7 linked regions of the Xenopus tropicalis genome follow. The protein of the gene in region 1 purifies or fractionates together with the protein of each later gene. This does not show direct contact. Links are inferred from orthologs where the notes say so. Each region holds a gene or a part of one and is shown in the gene's direction. Other genes may lie near its edges. The genes, in order: napa, vamp3, stx10, snap29, vamp4, sec22b and bnip1.

Region 1 (3,936 bases):
ATTAATAATGAATATTAATTATTTATTAAGAATTAATAAACACTTGTTACAGTCAGGGACTCACCAAGCTTATTTTTTTTAAAAAAGGAGCAGTAAGTAGAGCTTGTACAGTAGTAGATAAAGGCACAGCAGCACCAGCGTAACTTTTGTGACCCACGACCTGAGCAGCACCAGCACCCACAACAAATAAAAAAGTGCAGGAAGAAGCTGTGAAGATCCAAAGACAGCAGTGACAGAAGGAGCCAAGGAAACCCAAAGGAAGACAAAAAGACCTGAAGACGAGCAGGACACTTAAAAGACACAGCAGGACATTTCAGTAAGTATCTGGGACAGCGGGACAATGTGCAAAAATGGGACATCTGGGGGTGTGGCCATATAGTGGGCGTGGTCAAGAAAAATTTCGCCGCGCTTAGCGCTGCAAAATATTTTGTCCCTCTTTTTCATTTTCAAATGTTGGGAGGTATGAGCAGTTTATATTAAACTCATTGCCAGGCACGTTAAGCAGTTTGGGTTATTCTTTACTGCCTTTCCTTAACTTGGCCTTCAGGTCATTAGTAAAGTATATAGTTGGTGGTGCACCAATAAGCAAAAAAAACTGTTTCCTGGACCTTTAACCTCTACCGCATTTATGCTTAGAGAGCAGAGAATGGTAACATGGAGTTACTGTAATAAGCAGTATTAGCTGAATCAGAACAAAGGCTGCCCCCTTACTAATAATGTTAACGCCAGGGTAGTAAAAATGATGCCTCGTTCCAAACATTGCCAATAGCGAGGCAAAAAGCTAAAAACAAACAAACCCGGAAGACCACTGTTTTTTTTAATATGAAATGCAACACTACACGAAGATAAGGACAACTAAAACATAAAAAAGATCATATGTAAAAAAATGATAATGTAATAGAAAACAACGCACTACAGTCTGTATTATTTTTAAAAAGGAGTACACATCTTTCCCTTTAAATGCCGCTCAGAAAAAGCCTAACTACATCTTCTGACTGTGTCTAGGCGGATGTGAATGCTAACGTTTGGTCACGTGGCACGGATATTGGCGGAAACAGAATAATCATGTGTTCTGCGGGCGGAAGTTTTGCTGTCACTGAAGCATAGCTGCTGATCCGGAGAAATACTAAGCGCAGTCATTATTTGCCTGCAAAATCAGGTCAGCGTCCCGCACACTGTTACAATTCTTTCCCTTCTGCTTGCCCTATTCTTCTGCTCTCTGATTCCCGATTATCTCCCTCGGCCGTCTCTCGGTTCAAGGGTTTTTGATCCCTGGCCTCTGCCTCCTGTTTGTCTCTATCCGCGAGTATCCTCGTATTACTAGCTCGTCGGCTTTCTACGAGGCCTTTCACTCATTTGCAGAGCTTTTTCTTGGCTGCCTGCCTCCTAGTTCTGGTTAGCGCTCTGAATCGGCTAACATCTTGCGGTAATAGAAAAACTTTAATAGATTAACTACTTTCCTAAAATGTAATTCCAGGCCCATGTTACAATGGCTGATTCTATGGTCTCTGATCTAATACCGGGGAATTTTTCTGAATTTATAGATATTTTCTTTTTTATAATTTATATTGGCATCTATTTTCCATATTTTCTGATTGTTATTATCATTGACAGGCCCCATTCAACCATGGATAACTCTGGGAAGGAGAAGGAGGCTCTGCAGCTTCTGGCTGAGGCTGACAAGAAGGTGAAGTCATCGCAGTCATTCTTTTCAGGGCTGTTTGGGTAAGTGAATTAGAAATAATTACATGGTAACAGGGCAAAATCTGTTTCTGACCAAAAGCATTGAACTGTCACTAGTGTTAGTAATATTAAGCATTTACAACGCTGTAGCTGTCACTACACAAAGCATTTTACATTTTGTTAATCTTATAACTTGAATAGTGTGTAATCTTTGTCTGTTTGTCTGCATTTAAGAGGCTCCTCTAAAATGGAAGAAGCATGCGACCTCTATGCCAGGGCTGCCAACATGTTTAAGATGGCCAAGAACTGGAGTGGTAGGTAGTATGTAATCTGTAAAATCATTTGTAACAAACTTTCCATATATCCATATATAGGTATATAGATATTTATACTCCTCGGAATAGTGCAATAAGATGCTCTTCTTCTTTTTCCCAGCTGCTGGCAATGCCTTCTGCCAGGCTGCCCAGATCCATCTTCAGGTTCAAAGCAAGCATGATGCAGCCACTAACTTTGTGGATGCTGGAAATGCATTCAAGAAATCTGACCCCCAGGGTAAGAGAGGTCCTAGTTGTCTCTTGAATGAGTCTTTTTTTTTTTCAAAGTTATCTATCAATAACTGTTTGTACCAGCACCCAGTGTTCCCCTTTGATTTGTTTTCGGTCATATGCACAAAGATAACATATTTATATCAGTTATGTGCACAGAAATGTGGGTTGTTGTAATAACTAAGTGTAAATAAGTGTTTTGCACAAAAGTGTTTTTTGTCTATTGTGGCAATACCCCCACAATGATAGCTCCAAGAAGAATAAAATGCAGAGACCCCCCTCCTCCCCCGTCTTGATGCTCCTGAATACAGTGCTCCTCACCTGTAACTGTTAATAATAGACAAAATAGACCGGTGTGATTTGCAGCATTTTTTTACTATCAAAGCAATCCTAGCACTGGTCGCCAAATGCAAACAGGCACATTTCAAGCTGATCTGATATTGTCTTGACCAGAGAATGCCATGCACAGCCAGGCACATGAATATATTCTTATATATTCATCTTGAATATGAAATGCCAGGTGATTTTAGGCCTTATTTTATTAGAGGTATTTTATTAAATGAAATAAAGGCTTTTCTGCAAGAATACATAAAGCAATGCTTAACTTTTTCAATAATAACTTTGATAAATGATCACAAGTATCTATATTGTTTTCAGAGGCAATTAACTGTCTGCTTCGAGCAATAGAGATCTACACTGACATGGTAAGGACAATTTCAAACTATCTTCCGCTTTTTTTTGGTCTTTATCACTTCTTAAGTTGACCACAAACAGAGTGACAATGCGAATATGGCTAAAAGAACGCAAGATGTTTAGTAAGATATTTGTTGACTAAGGATCAAGGTGTGTTTAAATGCAGTTTGTAGAGAATGATACATATGTGTTTGGGAAATGGGCAATAGAATTGTTATGGAAACAAGTGGGTTTTTTTTTAGTCAGAAAGTAGCAGGGAACAAAAAAAATGCTCTTCTAATGAATGTTCGGATATCGATCATACGTTTAAATGCAACGATCTAAAACTAACATTCAGACTGAAATTGTAGGATAAAGCTCTAAAAATAAATTGGAGGATGTTCTGAACATGAAATAGTAGGCAGACATCAATAATGCAAAAGTGAGGGCAGGCAGTACCCTTCTGAACAAACTCTATGCCAGGTGGCAACAGGATCTCCCCCACATTACACTTGAACTGTGGGAGGAGGTGTTGGAGTCAACCTTTGATGCTGTAATTAGGGATACACCCCACCGTTACAAATATTAAACCAGGAGCTCCCACAAGAGTGCCCCAGATGTCGTTTTTCACCATCTGACTTTATCCAGCTGTTGTGGCCTGTGTGCAGCACTTCTGGGAGGAAGTGGCAAAATATATACCCGGTAGAATGGATATCTGGTATATGCTCAGTCAGGTTCAAGAGCTGTCCCCCCTCATAGAGAAAAAAAAAATGTAAATGTCCATTTTATGTATGTATGCAAAAAAAAAAAAAAAAAAACCCACAGAAAAATTGCACAATTCTTAAAGACACCTGGTGGGCCAACTGTGGCAGCATGAGAAGCTATGGTGGAGGGAGCCATTCCCCTGTATCCCCTGCATAGGCGGTCCTCAAAGATTTGATGTTTGTTGTTGGGTTTTATGTTGAATTTTCTTGTTTATGTTTAGGTTTATTGTAAAATGAGCATCCTATTCATCTGGTTTTTTTTATGATGTTGC
Region 2 (4,101 bases), on another chromosome or scaffold:
ATTTCTACCTCCTTCTGCCGATTCAGCCCTGACGGCAGATTTTGGTCAGGCGCCTTCTATGGCGCCCGATCAAAATTTTCTAACCTGGCCAATCGGCGAGTCGTCCGATATCAGCAGCTTCCTGCGATATCGGTCGACTTGCCGACATGCCATACACGCACCGAATATCGTACGAAACAAGGTTTCGGTGCGTGTATGGCCAGCTTAAGGCCAAACTATAACATGAAAGGGATACAAAAAGTCAAGCCTGCACCATCCGATCGTCATCTGGACGATTTTTGGGCAGCTATTGGTTGGGGATGCCTGTCAGAGGGCCCCATACATTGACAGATAAGATGGCGAATTACTGTGAAGAACCCGAATTGGCAGCTTTAAGGTGCATGGCCACCTTTATAGAATTGCTAATATCTTTTCTACCAACCACCTGATATCTTTCCTATCCAAACTTCCCCTCCCCAAAAATCACCTACAATTCCCCTCTTCCTTCCTAGGAGGCGTGGCTAGTCCAGGCCCACCCATGGCAAACTTTGTGTGGAACCTACTGCAGAGGAGAGTGGGTGGGGGCTCTCCAGGCCATGGGACAGGACACCTGTTTACTTGGGGAAGCTGGTTATAATAATTAAATTAATTTAACCTGCAAATAGTTGCAGTCTATATACATATTTATATTGTTTTATTTCTTCCTTAACCTCAAAACATTTTAGTCCGCAGCTTGGCCAATGTTATTAAAAGAATAACTCGTCTCCTGGTCAGGTTTATATAACGGTGTTGTAAGAATTCCATATGGATTTAGTTTGTAAGCTTTATTTGACTACTGAGGTAAATGATTATTTCTGTTACTGCGCTGCAGGCTGCATAGCTATAAGTGCAATGTTCTCAGCTACCATTTATACCAAAGGGGCCCCAGGGAGGCTGTGTGCCCAGGCTGAATACTCTCTAGTTAAACTTTAGAAGCGTTCCCCTAATGTCGCAGCAAGAAACACATTAGACTGCCCGACACGCCTAGGGCCCCCCGCCGCCTCACACTATTCTGAACATAACCCTTGCGTGTGGAATTTCGCACGCCAAGCCCCCATGCCAGTTCATTGGCGGGAATATCGCAGCGGTTTCCGCCGTTCCCCGAGGGACAATTTAACAAGACAAAACCGGGAGCGGCTGTGCCACACACGTGACCTGCTGCTCAGCTGACAGCGCTGCACCTGACGTCATTGATGCTGGCCACGCCCTGAGTTGCGCTGGCCACACCTCTCCCGGCAGCGGAACTCTACGGGATTGCGGCTACACAAGGCAAAAACGCCCAGCGGAGTAAAGTCGGACCGGTGTCCTGCAGTATCTAGCCTGTCAAAATGTAAGTGTGCCAGTAGTGCTTGGGGGGGGCTGCCTTTACAAGTTGCGGGGAACGCCCTGCCCGGTATCCGCCCTTAGCCCTGCGCTACCGAGCGGGGCCTGTGAGGCGTAGAGTTTGGGCGCAGAATGTGCTATTTTGTCCGTACAAAGTTGTATTTAGTTCGGCCGAGAAGTTTGTGCATAGGCTTATAGGGGTGTTTGACAGGGGACACAAGTGCCCTATGGCTTTAAAGGGTAAATACAATTACAATAGGCGTGTAATGTTTCAGTCTGCTTTCTGAACTCCTAGCAGTGTCGGACTGGCCCACAGGGATACCGGGAGAATTCCCAGGGGCCCTCCTGCTTCTAGCCATTTGGCCTAATTCAGGGTCCTTACTTATTTTTCTATAAGGGAACAAAGCAACTAAATATATAGAAAAATAGATTATAGTCTGTAAAGATAAAGAAAAATAACTTGGAATATATAGAGATAAGAAATGGATGAAAAATAATTTGGAGGGTGGCCCCATGGTCTAAGGCAGTGATCCCCAACCAGTGGCTCAGGGGCAACATGTTGCTCCCCAACCCCTTGGGTGTTGCTCTCAGTGACCCCAAACCAGGGAGTTATGTTTGAATTCCTGACTTGGGGGCAAGTTTTGGTTGAATAAAAACAAGATTTACTACCAAATAAAGCCCCTGTAAGCTGATAGTGTGCATAGAGGCTACCTAATAACCCTTATTTGGCTCCTCCATGAACTTTATGGTGCTTGTGTTGCTCTCCAAGTCTTTTTACATTTGACTGTTGCTCACGAGTTAGAAAGGTTGGGGATCCCTGGTCTAAGGTTTTCTGGTGGGCTTTTAGCATCCCAAGTCCGACACTGACTCCTAGCATCTAATGGGATGGGAGTTGTAGTACAATAACAGCTTGTTGTTACATTACATAATATGACTTCTGTTAGAACTCAAAATAGACTTAATGGCTCGCATTTGTATTTACTGCTTCACAAGTCTTGACTCATTTTAAGAAATGGTTCTTAATGTGAATGTTCTGCTGCAGCACATTGTTGTTTTACGGAATTTATGTTGTTCAGATTGGGTGAATTTCATCAGCAGATAGGTTTCATTTCAAGTGCATTTGCTACATGTCACAGGGTAGGTTTTGACCACCATTGTATCCTGGTGGGGGTTTAAGCCCCTGAAATCACCCACGCCTGCCTCCCATAGCAACCAGAGGAAATCACCCTTGTGATGGCTGCATAGGCTGAGGATTTCTAATACATTACTATGGGAAGTGGCAACCAGCAAATTTATCAGATATTGGTCTAAGAATCATAATAAGGAACTTGTTACAGTTAGGTAATACTATTTAGGGTGAAGACACACAGAGCTACTAGTAGCAGCTACTTGTCATGGCTACTAAAAAAGGCTGCTGATCATTTACTGATAGTTATCTCTACATGTGTTAGGGCATTAGGGTATTTTCTGGAGTTTAGTAGCCTTTACAAAGTAGCTGGTACTAGTTGCCCATTGTGTCTTCACCCTTAAAGGAACAGTAACACCAAAAAATGAAAGAGCTTTAAAGTAATAAAAATATAATGCACTGTTGCCCTGCACTGGTAAAACTGGTGTGTTTGCTACAGTAACACTACTATAATTTATATAATAAGCTGCTGTGTAGCCATGGGGGCAGCCATTCAAGCTGGAAAAAAGGAGAAAAGGCACAGGTTACATAGCAGATAACAGATAAGTTTTATCTGTTATCTGCTATGTGCCTGTGCCTTTTCTCTTTTGAATGGCTGCCCCCATGGCTACATAGCAGCTTATTTATATAAATTATAGTAGACTTTCTGAAGTAAACACACAGCTTTTACCAGTGCAGGGCAGCAGCACATTATATTTTAGTTACTTTTATACAATTTCATTTTTTTGGTGTTGCTGTTCCTTTAAGTATCCAGATTATAACCCATATAGATACACTTGGTCAGTGTAGCAGATCTCTTCCAAACTGACTGAACATTAGGATGTAGCCTTTAGGTGACGTATTAACTTTTTTGTGACCCCAGTAGGTCCCTTCTTTCTCTAGAGAATTGCAGATTGCTGATAGCATAGCTCAATCCAATTGGGAACTCTTTTTTTGTGTAAGTCATTTATTTCAGATTCTTCTGATTAATATAATGTAACCGTATGTTGTTAGAGAGGAGAATGCCAGGGTTACACCCAAATTATTTACTCAGAGAAGGGCCAGCAGCAATAAAACAGCTTTAAACCCATTTTTACCAAAAAGGAGAGGAGCTGATCTGCACGTAGATCCCAGTAATTACCCTGGCACTAAGGAGAAGAGAAAGTGTAGCAGCTGCCTGTTTCACTTATGATCTACAGCTGCAGACCAGAATATTGTAATAAAATTATAATTATACACAATTTGTAGATTATAAGCTCTTTTGGGCAGGGCTCTCTTCACCTCTTGTATCAGTTATTGATTGCTTTATATGTTACTCTGTATGTCCATTGTATGAAACCCACTTATTGTACAGCGCTGCAAAATATGTTGGCGCTTTATAAATAAATGTTAATAATATACTGTAAGTTTTGCACTATGTGCACTTATTGCTCAAAGGTCTTTACCTTTGAGCAATAAGTGCAAAACTTACAGCAAAGTTTCTGGTGAATTCCATTCAGATGTTGGGGGCTAATGACTCCCCAGACACTTTTACATTTGATGTGCGTGTGTGTGGAGTTTGGGAGGCATTCTGTCTCAGAGGCTGATTATATCAG
Region 3 (3,995 bases), on another chromosome or scaffold:
CTCTTGGGTGGAAGGACTATCCCCGCCATGAGTGCCCCCCATGCTCACCTTGCTCCTACTGTGAGACTTGCAGCACAGGGTTTATCTGGCACCGGTGATGTCCCACTGCCTTCTTATAGGGGCCCATTCTGCAATCACAACAGCACCAGGAACATCTGCCTTTAATCCTTCTAGGACCTCTGCCCCACACTTGACACTATGGCCACTGCTGACCAAGCCCCTCCTTACTTTCCCAAGATTCCAGTCCCCCCACACCTCTGGCTGTAATCCACAACCCCCCCCCCCCCCCCCCCCGATCAGAAGTGTGGCACCCCCAGCATCAGCCATCAAATCTATCCCATCCATTACCATTACCTGCTGCTATTATTTCTGCATGAAGATATCCATTCAGATTCACATTCAGAACTACCCACAAAATGGCAGCGGTTATACTTGGCCAATCACTGCTCTTCATTTACTCCCAACAAGCGCAACAACCCCCTCCTGAAGTGGGATCCACAGACAATGCGCCCCATACTATTGGGGGAACAAGGTGCAGGTTACACAGCCAGTTGTGCCAGTGCAGGGCAGCAGTACAATATATATTCATTACTTTGATATACTTTATTATTTTTGGTGTTACTGTTCCTTTAATTGGGCTGGTTGGGCCAAAAATACCCCAAAGTCAACGGAAGTTCTCAGCAGCCCCTCTGGCATTGGCAAAGATTTCCCCAAAAGGTCGATTTTTCCATCTTCTTAAAACTAAATAAATACTCCTATGCCACCCTGCCCCATCTTGTTTGCGAACGTTCTCCCATTATGCGGGTATTTTCCTCCAAATTTCCCTACTTTCACTTCCTCATTAGAAACAACACAGCGCCCCCAGCGAAGCTTCAACCGAACTGCAGCATTTCAGCACCAGTCACGTGACCTAGAAGTGAACTGATCGGATTAACAGAAATACACTACAAGTCCCGTGATGCTTCGCGCCTGAACCGGAGACACGTGACGGCAGGGAAGCCGAGGAGGGCGGAAGTAGGCGAAAAAGTGACTGGAAGAAAGATTGTCAGTAGGGGAGAGTTTAGAGTGTTGCGGAGAGAGTGAGACTCGGGGTCGGAGTGACAGAAGCTTGTTGCTAGGAGACAGATTTATTGTTATTATTAGAGGTACAAGTGATAGAGGTGCGGGGCAGGGAGCGGGGGGAGATGAGTTTATACACGTGTTTATATAAACAGAGGCTGTGAGGGGAGGGGGCAGAGTGCGGCCCCAGGGATGGGAGAGATACCCTGCTAGCCCCTATACTCACATATACACACACACACACATATATATATACAGGTATAGAGAGAGACAGGAGCTTATATAGAGGCTGTAGATTCCTATAAGGGCAGCTGGGGCAGAGAATGCAGTAAGTGCCTGGGCACTCTAGGGGCGCTATGTAAGTACAGACATAGATTATTGTATAGAGTTAGATAGAAGGGGAAATAAGCCAAAACAGGAAGAAAAGCCAAAATGTCTCTGGACGATCCATTCTCAGTGGTGAGAGGGTGAGTATTGGCTTCTTATTCCAGCAAATGGGCAGTGCCATGCTGCCTGTCTCCTGTGCCCGGGGGGTTACCATAGAGACCGCAGCGAGGGGCGCCAGGGAGTATACAGGGACATGTGGGGTTCTGCCTATAGGGGAGACAGATTGTGTGACTACTGGGGGTCCTAAGAAGTATAGGGGCCCAGAGGGGCACTGACTAATAACAAGGGGTTTAGGGGGCCCAGAGGGGCACTGACTGATAACAGGGGGTATAGGGGCCCAGCGGGGCACTGACTGATAACAGGGGGTATAGGGGGCCCAGAGGGGCACTGACTAATAACAAGGGGTATAGGGGGCCCAGTGGGGCACTGACTGATAACAGGGGGTATAGGGGGCCCAGTGGGGCACTGACTGATAACAGGGGGTATAGGGGGCCCAGAGGGGCACTGACTAATAACAAGGGGTATAGGGGGCCCAGTGGGGCACTGACTGATAACAGGGGGTATAGGGGGCCCAGAGGGGCACTGACTGATAACAAGGGGTATAGGGGGCCCAGTGGGGCACTGACTGATAACAGGGGGTATAGGGGGCCCAGAGGGGCACTGACTGATAACAGGGGGTATAGGGGGCCCAGAGGGGCACTGACTGATAACAGGGGGTATAGGGGGCCCAGAGGGGCACTGACTGATAACAGGGGGTATAGGGGGCCCAGTGGGGCACTGACTGATAACAGGGGGTATAGGGGGCCCAGAGGGGCACTGACTGATAACAGGGGGTATAGGGGGCCCAGTGGGGCACTGACTGATAACAGGGGGTATAGGGGGCCCAGAGGGGCACTGACTGATAACAGGGGGTATAGGGGGCCCAGAGGGGCACTGACTGATAACGGGGTATAGGGGGCCCAGCCGGGCACTGACTGATAACAGGGGGTATAGGGGGCCCAGAGGGGCACTGACTGATAACAGGGGGTATAGGGGGCCCAGTGGGGTACTGACTGATAACGGGGTATAGGGGGCCCAGCGGGGCACTGACTGATAACAGGGGGTATAGGGGGCCCAGTGGGGCACTGACTGATAACAGGGGGTATAGGGGGCCCAGTGGGGTACTGACTGATAACAGGGGGTATAGGGGCCCAGAGGGGCACTGACTGATAACGGGGTATAGGGGGCCCAGTGGGGCACTGACTGATAACAGGAGGTATAGGGGGCCCAGTGGGGCACTGACTGATAACAGGGGGTATAGGGGGCCCAGCGGGGCACTGACTGATAACAGGGGGTATAGGGGGCCCAGTGGGGCACTGACTGATAACAGGAGGTATAGGGGGCCCAGTGGGGCACTGACTGATAACAGGAGGTATAGGGGCCCAGCGGGGCACTGACTGATAACAGGGGGTATAGGGGGCCCAGTGGGGCACTGACTGATAACAGGGGGTATAGGGGGCCCAGTGGGGCACTGACTCAGTTGCAATATATATTTCTAACTTGTTCCCAAAGTTAAGAGGGTCCCTAAAATGACTTTTCTATGGGGTCCAGTAAAGTCTCTTTATGCCGATGGCAAGCGCTTCCTGCACCTTGTCATTCCCAAGGCTCAAACCATCCGTGGCCTGTAGTGAAGCCCGCCCTACAAGGATGTCAAACAGACCTGTGTATTACAACTCCCCCCCACTCACTGACTGACTGACTGACTGACTTCCCTGCCCTAGAAAGTAAACACAGGTCAGGCTGGCTGGGCTTTGCCTTGTGCTAGAGACCATAACCAAAGATGAAGTTATACCGTAAAACATAGACATTTGGCTGCCACCAACCCTTTCCCTGGGAGTCATTTCCCTATAGTAGTGCTGTTAGTCAGGGCCCCATAGTTAAAACAAAACTAGACTCCTCCCTTTCTCCCCCCTCGTTCCTCTGGTAGCCATCTCTCTGTCCTGTATTACTCTCTTTCTCCCCCCGCAGAGAGGTGCAGAAGGCTCTGAACACCAGCCGGGGTTTGTACCAGCGCTGGTGTGAACTCCTCCAAGAAAGCCAAGTTACCAGTGCCGAAGAGTTTGATTGGACGACCAACGAGTTGCGGAATTCCTTGCGCAGCATTGAATGGGATCTGGAGGATCTGGAAGAAACCATCAGTATCCTAATTGGTCAGACACAGTGCCAGTCCCTGTCAGGTAACCCTGAAATAGCCCGAGAGGCACCTAGTTGATACCAGGCATATTGATAGGAGGCCCCGAGGTGGCCCATCTAACATACTGGCGCTAGAATAAACCCATGGGATACAAAAGGGCCCCTAGCGTATGGGTTTATTCTACTGTTACGCTCTGTGTTGTTCCCTTGGCCACTGGTAGCCTTTTTGCAATTCTAGTCCATTCCACAGTTTTCCTTTACTCCCATCTTGGGCATCGTGGAATCGAACTCGCGAAAATTCAAGATCACCGGGACGGAGCTTAGTGAGAGAAGGAGTTTTGTGGAGCAGACGCGGAATTCTGTAAAGGTAAATTAAA
Region 4 (2,177 bases), on another chromosome or scaffold:
TATAGGCTCTGAGGATCATTAACTACCAATCCTACATTTACTATTATCAGTATTACAATTGCTTTTTAAATTACTGAAATGTGTGCCTTTGCCCTAATGGGGTAACCCAGTGTCTTTTTACATAATAACACTGAAAGGATTTGTGTGGTATAAGACTGGGAGTGAAATAATAAGAGAGCTGCTCTTCAAATACCCCTTTGGCCTGTCTACAAAACCATTATGACTGCTAAAGTGATACTGACACGAAAAAAAAACTTTTTAAAATATAAATCTACATAAAAAGTTGCCTATAGGTCGTGTTGATCATTTTTTACTGATAGGGCTGCTTTTGTAAGTAATTGTTACTTGAAATCCCAAAACCTGACTGTTTTGCCAGCCTGACTGTCCCTTCTCAGCCTGTCAGTTATAGCTTCTAATGCTAACGGCCTCCTGCTGGACAAATATGGCCGCCCCCTCATAGAGGAACATGGGGGATCAGATAGGGAATGTAAAAGCTTGGACAAATACTTTTATGGCAAAATTATAAATAGCATGCAAAGACAATGTTATGACAGATGTAAAAATAATTTCATTTCTGGTGTCAGTATCTCTTAACAAATACTTCCTGTTTTGGCATATCTTTCATAAACAGTTTGGAGGATTGCGACTCTAATTACCAACCAACTAATCACATTAAGAATCTATTGGGAAAGAAATAGGCTCCCAACAGATTTTAATGACTGATTCTAGGCATCAAGGCTACCATTTATAGATGACCTGGTTAAAGCTAAATGACAAGGTGTAACCCATACACCGTATTTTTTTTTTCCATACCTACTAATATTGCTGCATTTTAAAAATAATAATACTAATCCTAAGGTTGTGTTATTCCTTTCTTCCAGATGACATGTCTTTAGGTTTGGGTCGCCTGAAAAACCTTGCACTAGGACTTCAGACAGAAATCGATGACCAGGATGAGATGCTTGGGCGCCTAACTGGCAAAGTAGATAAGATGGACTTAAACATCAAGACTACAGACAAGCGGATTCGCGAAGAGCTATAAAAGACAAATTTCAGACTTGACCAAGACCGACTCTTGAGTTTTATTCTTGTGGTTTTTATAATGTTATGCAGTTTTTTTTTTTTTTGTTTTTTTTTATACTGGGACATAAATATCCCACACATCCCTATCTGAATCTTATATCTTCTGTATAACTATACATTACATTCGTTAGCATTAAATGTAGATGATGTTTTGCAGTATTATTACTAATATAGATCCTTATTAAGATATAAAAATGAATTGTCTTACTATTGGAATTGTATTGTAGTGATTGGCAGTTTGTTATAGCTCTGGATCTGAATAAAGTATTTGAGTTCATTTGCTAGGTATTACCTTACTGCTATATGACAGAATAGACATATGAACATGCCTTTATTAAAACTGCAATATTTTACACATGCTCGTAACATAGGGTTTAATGGGCCCTGCCATATGCCACTTTCTTATTACCCTTATTATTTTAATCTAGTGTTCTGAAACTTTGTGTATAAATATGTTTATAAATTTATGTGACACTCCCGTAAACCATACTGTGAATATTTTATCAGTTTACTTGTTAAGTTAAAAAAAAAAGCCTAATAATCTTGCCTGTTATTATTTTAACTAACTTGTTTAATATATTATTTGCTTTCTGATTTTGTGCCATTTGTCTTCTTTAGACAAATTTGAGTCTGTAGACTTGTTTCTCTGCCTGACATTTCAGATAATTTATTCATACTCCCTTATACTTATTAAATGTTTTGGACATAGTAATCCTTATTTCCCCTTTTGTATTATTAGCACACTTGGGCATATTTTAAAGCTGTGTAAAATATTACATGAGCAATAACACCATGCACCCTTGTAACTATCAATTACAAAGTTGTAATCATAATCAAAACGGGGCACATGTGCTTCAGATAAAATCAGTGGTAAAGAATTTATAGCAGCTGTTGAAGGCAAATGTGCCTAGCTTTTTAGTAGCTGTACATTAACATATATACTGTATATCTTTAAGCAGTACAAGCTATGATAACATCTGAGCCTGTGTTTCACTGTCAAATGCATATATGTTTGAGGGCGTGTTTAAAAAGGCCACTTTGCATACTAGACTGAGAAGTAGCACAATAATCTTGTACAGCAGCATTTTTACCTA
Region 5 (2,522 bases), on another chromosome or scaffold:
CACAGAGAGATGGGAAGGCTCAGCTTGCAGCTGGCTAAATGTTGGTGTCGTTGCTTCCTCTCCATCCATTAGCCTTTAATGTCACTATAGGGAACAGTCAAATCTCATCCGCTGCAAGTAGCCACTTCCAGTCTTCCTGTGTGACATTAGCCTGCAGACTAAAGTGTTGCTGGCGTCTTTGAATAATATGGCGTGAATGACAGTTTAAATTCTCTGTGTGTTTTTTTTTTTTTTATATGCAGGAATGTAACCTTTTGCTCCCTAACCATTAAACAAGGATTCCATCACAGAAGCGCTAAAGAGTAAATGGGTGAAATGCAAATGGGGATATAGTTCCGAACATGCTAGAAACTGATCCACTTTCTCTGAATAGATTAATTTAAACTTGTTTGGATACAGTAAGAATGTAATAGAAATTAAGCAAGCCCCTTTTTCCAAGGTAAACTAATACTGTCAGATCTATCATTTGCTAAACTACCCTCAGTACTTACCTTCTTCTTTGAGCAGAAATTGGTTCCTACGACCCACCCATACAGGGCTTTCTCAAACACAAACTGGCTTGGTTCATATGGTGGGGTACTTAAAGGCATGCAACAGCAAAGTAGTGAACAGGTTACTAAAAAATATTGATGATGAAAACTTTATTGTGGGATAAATTTGAAATGAAATCCAAAAGTTAAGGCTTTCCATTTTTAGCTAAGCTAAAGGAAAATGACCTTGCTAGACTGGCAGTTGTTTGTTGTTGTTCCAGTTGTATTTGTATTTGCAGTGTACAGAACCAGGTGGATGAAGTCATCGATGTCATGCAAGAAAACATCACAAGGGTGATCGAAAGGGGAGAAAGGTTGGATGAGCTGCAGGACAAGTCAGGTAATGGAGCTCCTGCAGTAAGCGGTGAGATAAGAAATTGCTCTCTGATCTATTTATTCTTTAATTTATATGCAGTCATTATTTCCATGCTAAGAAATGCTGACTAAAAGTGGCTATACAGGGGCCAATAAAAGCTGCTAACAGACCAATTCGGCAGCTTATTGGCATTGTATGGGGCCCTCTGATGGGCCAACCCTACCGATATCTGGGCAGTATTGACCAATATTGGGCAGGTTTAATTTTCAGTTGGTTTGAGGACCTGATCTGCACGTTGATGCAGTCCTTGATCCAATGGCCTGCATGTAGCTGCAATTGTGATCTGATTTTTTGGCACACTCACCTCAAGATGGGCATATCAGGTAAAGATCTTTCACTGTATTGCCACCCTAACTTATGCACTTTTCTAACACACAATCCTATATCTGTTCTGCCACAGAAAGCTTATCAGACAATGCCACAGCCTTCAGCAGCAGATCAAGACAGCTTAGGAGACAGATGTGGTGGAGGGAGTGTAAGGTAAGTAGTGCATCAAACTGTAATACATTCAACAACTTGGATTTTTGTCAAATTACCAGTAAAGCAATGAATGGTTATCAGTTTGCATGAATTTTAGCTTTTCCCTGCATAATAATTGGGTTACCATACATCTAATATTCAGTTTATTGTGCTTTTCAGATGAAAGCAATTATAGCACTGGTTTTTGTCATCATCCTACTAGTGATTATTGGTAGGTATATTGCTCACAAACCTAATGAAACTTGTTAATATTGTATTTTACAAGCAATTTCAATTTTATTTTCTTGTTCTCAGTGAAAACATTAGACATGGGGACACAGGGCCTCAAAAAATTATAGTTAGCAAAGCATGTATTGCATCAACTTAGTCCTCTGTTCACCTCCTGTACTGTTGTCACTGCACAGGCAACTTCAAAGCAAATAAAGATGGAGGGGAGATTAAAGCAATATTTATTTGTTGTGCAGTACACTACATCAGTGCTGTCCAACCCCTGTGATACCGAGGGCCAAAATTTTTCTGGCCTATGTGGTGGAGGGCCGATAATGGAAGCCAGTTTTGACCATTCCCCTTTTCAAACCACACCCATGTTATCACAAGAGCTTTTAAGACCATATACACATTAATGGCGGTAGCACAGCAAAAACCCAAATGGTTAATGCTCACTGAAGGATACCATCCTTCATTCATTTGTGAAGGAAGTTTATTATGTCATATTAAGACACACCCTTAAATTCATATGCCTCGCCTGTGGAAAGCCCCAACACATAATTACACTCCTTATGGACCATATAATGACTATTTCCAAATGCTAACAAACTCGGAACAACCCAGAACAAACCCCTGCCATGTTCACCTCCCACAGGCAGCATAGGGCAGACAGAGTATGGCACATACAGGCAGCATAGGGCAGGCAGAGTATGGCGCACACAGGTAGCAAAGAGCAGGAAAAATATGGCACACTCAGGCAACATAGGGCAGGCAGTACATACAGTGACACAATGCTGGCACTGTTCATACAGTCTGAGGTGTGAACAGGTGAACAATGTGGGGGCTGAGCCTGAGTTGCGTTGTTCTCAACTCAGGTTTAGACTATAAACTGACTATAATGCAGTGTGAACTACAGGGTGTTAAAGGCA
Region 6 (4,179 bases), on another chromosome or scaffold:
AGCTTTGAAACCAGTGCAATTAGCATCAGAATTTATTAATCAGCCATGTGGCATCAGCGTATATGACAATTAAACCTAATTTTTGGCTTGATAATTTTCAACAACCCCTAAGCTTTGCTTCCCAACAGTTGCCCAGGGCACACTGAGCATATGCAGTGTCACTAACACTCCTAGCAACATCCAAGATGGGAAGCTTCTGTGATAACTGTAAGGACCTGGATAATTATTACTATAGAGATGCTGAAACTTTAGGCTGCTGCATCAAGTTTAGTATGTAAAATTTGGCATTTCTAGCCATATTGATTTTTTGAGTTTAATTCTCCATAAAGAGCTTTATACCTCTTCAGTCATGTCTAATTTAAATAAGTTGTGTATAAGCGGCTATTGTCTGCCTGCTGTATGCTTGTTTATTTGCTGGCTAACAATACCCATGTTTCTTATGTAACAATAAAAAATGTCTATTTTTACTATATATGTTTACCCAGCAACAAGTACACTGGACTCCCCTTATCTTCACAATAGTTCCCTAAAATGTGCTGAATTATTTATTGACTAAACCTAAATGATATATCAAAGCAGAAATATATATTATAAATCAAGTAACTCAATAATGTACTACAGGGGGTTACAATGGTTCTGCAGTCAGGGGTCCCTCTCTTTGCACCCCTTCTATGCACCTAAGCCCTGCCTACTTACCAAATCTGACCCACTTCATCCATTTAAGGCCCCACACATCACAACTTCACCCTCCTGGTACCTACTCAACCCCTTATGTCATTGGCAAATATGGCCAAGAAGTAAAAGTGAACCCTGTCTTTGCACAACATCAAGCATCATTTTTACCAGCCAGGCCAGTAAAACCCTGGGCAGGCGGCAACTGTATGTGCTGAAGGTAGGTGGGCCAGAACATGAACTGAGTTTTAATGGATTAAGGCAAAAAGGGGTAAGATGCCTCATATGCAATTGGGGTGAAGCAGGGCTTCAGTTGCCATTTATGACCTGGCCCATGCAAAACCATTAATTGTTCCAGCAGCAGCTCAGAAATTAGGGGAAACCTTAAAGTATTAAGATGCCAAGATATCACGTCTCTAGAAAAAGATTTCCCTTCTTTTCTTACTCATTATTTTGCCTAGCATCGATTTATAAAAGACAATACTGGCAGATTCCAAATAAAAGATGGCGAATCCACAGCACAAATGCCTAGGCGCCGTAACTTTCATTTTCCTTCCCTAGGAACTTTCGTACCCCGGAACCTTTGTTGAGACAGACAGGGGGGCGGTACTACAGTGTGAACCCTGTCACTGCCAGCGGAGCAGGGGGGTGGAGAGCAACGTTTCCGGCCAGCTCATCCTGATCTCTAGCCCTGTTGTGTGTGTGTGCGTCTGTCTCCCCCGGTCAACATGGTCCTGCTAACGATGATCGCCCGAGTGGCTGACGGACTCCCGCTGGCTGCCTCCATGCAGGAGGACGAACAGGTGAAATGTTCATATACAGGTCAAACATGTCTTCAACTCGAGAGAGCCCACCTGTTGGGGAGTGCATAGTAATAGCTATAGGGAACCAGATGTAGCTGAGGGCATGTTGGAGTGATGTTTAGAAGCAAAACCTTGGGCTACATAGCTCAGGGGCAGTTGTACTGGGGTGTATATTCACTGTATCCATTCAAGCGAGGGTGTTATTGTGCTGGGTGCGTTATTATAAGCAGTGCCCTGCTTGTGTGTGTTTATGCGCTATGGGAATACAGGTAAGCTGTGTATCTGAGTGCTAGCTGTTTGTTTACACTGTGATGAGATATGAATAATGTGTTTGTGTATATGTGTGAGCGTACATTGTATATATAAAGAAGTGTAGTGTATGTGTAGGGTTGACTACTGTATATGCACACACAGGTAGCCTGTCAACTTCATTTTGGGACACCTATAAAATACATTGTTAGACATACATTTCTATCATAACTGGCTGCATTGTCTCTGTTCCGTTGATTGGGCAGGTCTGGCCAGCAAGTATGTACCTGGCTATTATGCACAGCTCCGCTACAGGCACGGCCTATGTAAGCTGTTGTGGGCATATTTATTGTGCCATATAGGTGAGGGATATTTGTATGTATGTATGTATATCTTTATTTATAAAGCGCTACTTATGTACGCAGCGCTGTACAGTAGAATACATTAATACAAACAGGGTGTTAATAAGATAATAATAGATAAATACAAAGTATAACAATAAATAAATACAGCTGCAATAAGTTAAGAGTCGAGGACACAAGAGGAAGGAGGTCCCTGCCCCGTAGAGCTTACAATCTATATTTATAAAGAAAGCAGTGCGGATACATTTAGACCATACAGATGTTAGATATGTATGACTTTAACTGTGTGCGGAATGTAGAGCTGTTTGTGGTTATGTATAGTGACCATACCTGTGTCCATGCAGGTGTGAATTAGCTATTCTATTGTGTGTTTATACTGATTAGCCAGAAAGGTGAAGGCTGTGCGTAGTGTTGTATATTAGTTGTGCCACTATTAATGAACATTATATGTAGTGTTCCATGTATTTAGCCTGTACAGGTGAGGGTTATAGGTAGCTTTGGTTTTGTCCAAAAAGGTGTACATGTGGGACATGCCTAGGTCTATGCTTATGATTTATCGGTGCTTCTATAGAGTGGTGGGAGGGTGTGCATAACTGTGACGGTAAGTACTTAAATAGTACCCTGTGCATGTAGATAAGATGCCTTATTAAAGATTATATCACAGGACTGACCAGCCATAGACCGTATGTGGCCCTCTAAGGGATGTATAAGGTCACAGGTTGTGTTGGCAATCTGAGCAGAAGCTGCCTGATTGTGTCCAAGTGAAAAGGCACTGTTGCACTATTAGTAAAAATAGCCTCTAGACCTTTATCCTTCTGTTCAGGAGGTATGACCACCTCTTCTATGTTGCAAGGCTTGTGCAAGAGTTTCTTAAAAAAGTGTGCGTAAAGTTACGGAGTAGAAAGGTCATAGGGTAGAAGCGCATGGGTTCAGATTGGGAGCATTATTGAATACAGTGCAGCTCTAATTACCCAACAAAACACAGATATTCCAGAGCTACTTATTGATTTGTTGCACTTTTATAGCAACTTGTTTCTGTTCTTCCTTTATCAATGTGCTACAGTAATGTACATGGTGTGTAACTGGAAAAGCTGCTACTGTTCCCTTGTATGCAAAGGACTGTTTGCCATTATTTCAGTGCCTAAGGGTTACTGTATGAGAGGAGGATATGTAGTGCTGTAATTAGCTCCTATGGCAATGCAGGAGCTATACATAAAATGTGTTTACATGAAGATTGAGGATTGTATTGCTGTCTGCAGGTTAGCAAGTGAGCTGTAATTACTGCTCTCCCTCGAGTTATAATGAAACCTTCCCTCATTGGTCTAATTTTCATATAAAGCTCTTTGTGTATCAGGCTAAGGTAAAGTGGAAACCCACAAGGATAGCCACGTAATAAGAACTATACGAGGAGCATAGATACAGAATAATCATGCAAATATAGGAGCAGGCAAAATAAATATATTTACCCATGTGTAATCTGCATAGAATATACCGTTGCTTATTTAGGCACTTACCCCAGGACATCCTGCATGGAACCAGTCCAGAACTTTGCAGTGCCGTTGACATCACACTTTACCCTTTCTCAGTAAACATGTTGGTTGGCAGATTATTATTTGCTGAATGATTTAATGTCAGTGGTTTTTGCCACAATGGGCATCAGGGACCAGTTAGTGAAATGGCGGTTAACACTAAAAATTGTTCATATGCACCTCCCACACCTAATTATATATCTCAGAGGAACAGAGGCTGTTGAGCATGGGGGTTAAATTATAACAGTGAAAGAAATGTGGCCAGAGTAAAACCCCATTCATTAGTGCAACCATCATTCAAAACATTGACTAAAATAATGATGTGCACCTAAATAGTCATATACATAGTCATATGACTGGTCAGTAAATATTAATTACTGGTCATATCATAATTTGAAGATATGGGTTAAGTACACAAGGAGAAGGGCTTTAAAGGGCAATTAGCAAATGGTCTTCATTTTTTATGGTTTTTCAGTTATTTATTTTTGTGTTCAGCAGCTCTCCATTTTATAGCGGCTACCTGGTTGCTAGGGTATTTTTTACCCTAGTAACTTGGCAGTGGTA
Region 7 (2,788 bases), on another chromosome or scaffold:
ATCACGGACCATCCAGGAAGCCAATGAAGAGTTCAAATCCATGTCAGGGACTATACAACTTGGGCGTAAACTTATCACTAAGTACAACCGGCGTGAGCTCACTGACAAGCTGCTCATTTTTCTGGCCTTGGCCTTATTCTTAGCAACTGTACTGTACATCTTGAAAAAAAGGCTGCTTCCATTCTAGTCACTGTGTGGGTTTCTTACTTCAGAGGATTTGGATGCCCATCTGGCGAGGACCACTGGCCTTAAAGATTGCCATCAGCTAACTGAACTATACAGAATACTCTGGAACTAGTAACTAAGACTGTGTCAGCTCTAATCTGTTTAAAATGGTGCACAAAGTTAAATTATTTGTAGGTTTATTATTGGTTAAACTGTTAGGGAATTCTGGGAGCTGTAGATTGACAACAGCAGAAGAAACAAAGGCTGAACATCCCTGCTTTAGACTGTGGTACTGGACCTGACGTTTGTGTTCCATTCATGTAAGTTGCCATACAATGGATTTTATGATAGTCTTATGTACTGATGTAAGTCATCACTGAAACAAATGATCATTTACTGTAGACTGGTGCTTTTTGGTTACAGTCTTAGGCTAAAACTGACCATGCACAAGCAAAATTACCCAAATGCAGACGTTTGCACAGTTTGATGGGCTTTGTTGTTGTTTTGATCTTTTGGCTACTAATGGGCGACCTGTTGATGAGGACTACATTAGAGGTGTGCAGGCCAGCCCAAAGTCCACATGACCCATGGGTTCATGGGTGGGTTCGGGCCAGCAATGTAGTGGGTAGAACTATATGCAGGACTGCCTCCCCCAGCCAGTCCTGTTCTGGCATGATTCCTTTGGCACTAGCATTTATAGACTCGCACCTCACTGCCTCATCCTTTGACATCAGAGATGGAGAGTTCCGAATCAGATATATAAACAGTAGCAGTGTAGCAGGCATGTACAGCCTTTTGTGGTTCTTGCCTGACAGAATTATTCAGCATTCCCAAACAATAGCTTGTTAAGCCCAATAAGATTTTGAGGCAATTGTTTCAGTCCAATAACCAGGACTCAGCCACCATCTAGGTCAAGGGTGGTCAAGTCAGCTTCTTTCCTGCCATCACTGATGTAAAAACATCATCAGTGAGAGGGACATTTGCCCAAAGACAGGACAGCAGAGGACTCTGGGGTCAGTGGTAGTTCTAGCTGTAAATCTTGTGTAAGAAAATAATTTGAATGAACCCTATAATTGGTTATACATAATAAATATAAATATGGAGGACAGAAGGTAGCTGGGCACAATATCATGCTGAGATTTACTCTCTATTCTGGAGAACAGAGACTTTCAGCTATTCAGAAAAGCACTGTGTACAAGTGCGAAAATTAACATGGTGGATTGCGCCTGTTTTAGACACTTTGTACCTTGTCCTGCACTTTGTAAATGACCCCTGCAAGAAAGCAAAGCAGAAATCACAGGGATGTAGATCATCTGGTCTTTTAATAATTAAGATATAGACTAACTGTACTTATGCAGGACAACTGCAAATGACTTTTTTTGCAATTTGTATAAATAACCTCACTTTCCTCCAGTGTTTACTTCAGTCTACAGCTACAGTGGTACCTTACAACATGTAATTTCTTCAGGGGGTGGAATGTCAGGAGTGGAATATTGTTGAAAATGTACAATAATACTGTGCTCCTTTAACACAGCCATTTCAGGTGACTTGTAGTATCTCACAACTGAAGGCAACTTTTTTGTCCAGCCATATTGTATTGTAAGTTAGTGTCTCTCTATAAAATGTCTGCTTTTCATCCAGTTAAATAAAGATGCACATAAACTGCTATATATCTGTAAGAAGCAGTATGGCCATCATGCAGACTAAACGTTTATATGGTTTTTGTCATGAGTTATTTTTAACAGATAATGAGTGTCAAACTTGTGGCTATTCTACTGCATGGAATCCCCCTTCACCCTGAAAGCCAGAGAAGATGGGGTTATAGCTTCCGGTAGCAGGAAGGCTGCTCAGTTTATAGCACTAACATATAATATGTGCTTGTCATTGCAAGCCATTAATTCCATTGTGCTGTGTGGAGGAAACCATGTGGGGGCTGAGGCTATTACTAGCTGTCCCTTGTACAGAAGGCAACGGCACAGAGATCAGACTTCCTGTGTCTACATGGACCAATTCTCTCATGGAACTTTCAATTTCCTTTAATTCTCATGATATTTTATGTGATTACCATTTAACTAATGTCATGTCAGCTGGCAGGAGGACAGGAATAAGTTTTTGTCTTCTTTAATAAATTATATTTATGATATTCTGTGTTTGTGTTATTTCCTACTACACCCACTAACCGACTGGTTTCTGAGATTTATTCTTCCTACATCCAAACATGAGGGATATACAAATATTCCTGCTTTAGGAGAAAATTTGCCCTTTAATCCAAAATATGCTTTTTTCTAACCTAGGTTTTTAAATTGCACCAGTGCAGTAACCCATTGCAATGTTCAGCTCTTAGTTTTGGTTGGTAAAAAAATAAAAGCAAATTGCTAAATTGGTTGCCACTTGTAACTGCACTCATTCAATTGAGTATTTATGGGGGGGGGGGGGAATATAATTTAATATAGCTGTTGTGAACCCGGAAACTGTTTTGCGACCGCACCTGTCAGTGAAAAAATATTGCAAATTTTACATTTTTCACCACTGTGCATTGTATGTAATAAAACATTTTACTGAAAAATTTGTTATCTTTGTACCAAAAGAGCTTGCCTTAAAAGTGCACTATGCACAATTAAAA

What was found.
Region 2: the proteins of napa (region 1) and vamp3 purify together in Homo sapiens (affinity purification with mass spectrometry; 3 studies listed by BioGRID and IntAct, with this or other methods). This does not show direct contact. The link is inferred for Xenopus tropicalis from reciprocal best matches to the Homo sapiens genes NAPA and VAMP3.
Region 3: the proteins of napa (region 1) and stx10 purify together in Homo sapiens (affinity purification with mass spectrometry; 3 studies listed by BioGRID and IntAct, with this or other methods). This does not show direct contact. The link is inferred for Xenopus tropicalis from reciprocal best matches to the Homo sapiens genes NAPA and STX10.
Region 4: the proteins of napa (region 1) and snap29 purify together in Homo sapiens (affinity purification with mass spectrometry; 3 studies listed by BioGRID and IntAct, with this or other methods). This does not show direct contact. The link is inferred for Xenopus tropicalis from reciprocal best matches to the Homo sapiens genes NAPA and SNAP29.
Region 5: the proteins of napa (region 1) and vamp4 purify together in Homo sapiens (affinity purification with mass spectrometry; 3 studies listed by BioGRID and IntAct, counting the BioPlex papers as one, with this or other methods). This does not show direct contact. The link is inferred for Xenopus tropicalis from reciprocal best matches to the Homo sapiens genes NAPA and VAMP4.
Region 6: the proteins of napa (region 1) and sec22b purify together in Homo sapiens (affinity purification with mass spectrometry; 3 studies listed by BioGRID and IntAct, counting the BioPlex papers as one, with this or other methods). This does not show direct contact. The link is inferred for Xenopus tropicalis from reciprocal best matches to the Homo sapiens genes NAPA and SEC22B.
Region 7: the proteins of napa (region 1) and bnip1 purify together in Homo sapiens (affinity purification with mass spectrometry; 3 studies listed by BioGRID and IntAct, with this or other methods). This does not show direct contact. The link is inferred for Xenopus tropicalis from reciprocal best matches to the Homo sapiens genes NAPA and BNIP1.

The regions. Positions count from the first base shown.
Region 1 is NC_030684.2:79,897,402-79,901,337, forward strand, and holds the start of napa (alpha-soluble NSF attachment protein), read left to right. Parts: upstream 1-1,136; 5' UTR 1,137-1,159; intron 1,160-1,169; exon of another isoform or gene 1,170-1,426; intron 1,427-1,614; 5' UTR 1,615-1,627; coding exon 1,628-1,725; intron 1,726-1,917; coding exon 1,918-1,997; intron 1,998-2,118; coding exon 2,119-2,235; intron 2,236-2,885; coding exon 2,886-2,932; intron 2,933-3,936. UniProt on the Homo sapiens protein: Required for vesicular transport between the endoplasmic reticulum and the Golgi apparatus. Together with GNA12 promotes CDH5 localization to plasma membrane.
Region 2 is NC_030683.2:101,173,600-101,177,700, forward strand, and holds the start of vamp3 (vesicle-associated membrane protein 3), read left to right. Parts: upstream 1-1,301; 5' UTR 1,302-1,346; coding exon 1,347-1,348; intron 1,349-4,101. UniProt on the Homo sapiens protein: SNARE involved in vesicular transport from the late endosomes to the trans-Golgi network.
Region 3 is NC_030679.2:140,624,130-140,628,124, reverse strand, and holds the start of stx10 (syntaxin-10), read left to right. Parts: upstream 1-1,195; 5' UTR 1,196-1,491; coding exon 1,492-1,526; intron 1,527-3,453; coding exon 3,454-3,623; intron 3,624-3,890; coding exon 3,891-3,985; intron 3,986-3,995. UniProt on the Homo sapiens protein: SNARE involved in vesicular transport from the late endosomes to the trans-Golgi network.
Region 4 is NC_030677.2:153,633,264-153,635,440, reverse strand, and holds the end of snap29 (synaptosomal-associated protein 29), read left to right. Parts: intron 1-881; coding exon 882-1,042; 3' UTR 1,043-1,677; downstream 1,678-2,177. UniProt on the Homo sapiens protein: SNAREs, soluble N-ethylmaleimide-sensitive factor-attachment protein receptors, are essential proteins for fusion of cellular membranes.
Region 5 is NC_030680.2:107,512,541-107,515,062, forward strand, and holds part of vamp4 (vesicle-associated membrane protein 4), read left to right. Parts: intron 1-769; coding exon 770-870; intron 871-1,306; coding exon 1,307-1,386; intron 1,387-1,545; coding exon 1,546-1,597; intron 1,598-2,522. UniProt on the Homo sapiens protein: Involved in the pathway that functions to remove an inhibitor (probably synaptotagmin-4) of calcium-triggered exocytosis during the maturation of secretory granules.
Region 6 is NC_030680.2:118,088,402-118,092,580, reverse strand, and holds the start of sec22b (vesicle-trafficking protein SEC22b precursor), read left to right. Parts: upstream 1-1,379; 5' UTR 1,380-1,400; coding exon 1,401-1,475; intron 1,476-4,179. UniProt on the Homo sapiens protein: SNARE involved in targeting and fusion of ER-derived transport vesicles with the Golgi complex as well as Golgi-derived retrograde transport vesicles with the ER.
Region 7 is NC_030679.2:43,438,555-43,441,342, reverse strand, and holds the end of bnip1 (vesicle transport protein SEC20), read left to right. Parts: coding exon 1-187; 3' UTR 188-2,288; downstream 2,289-2,788. UniProt on the Homo sapiens protein: As part of a SNARE complex may be involved in endoplasmic reticulum membranes fusion and be required for the maintenance of endoplasmic reticulum organization. Also plays a role in apoptosis.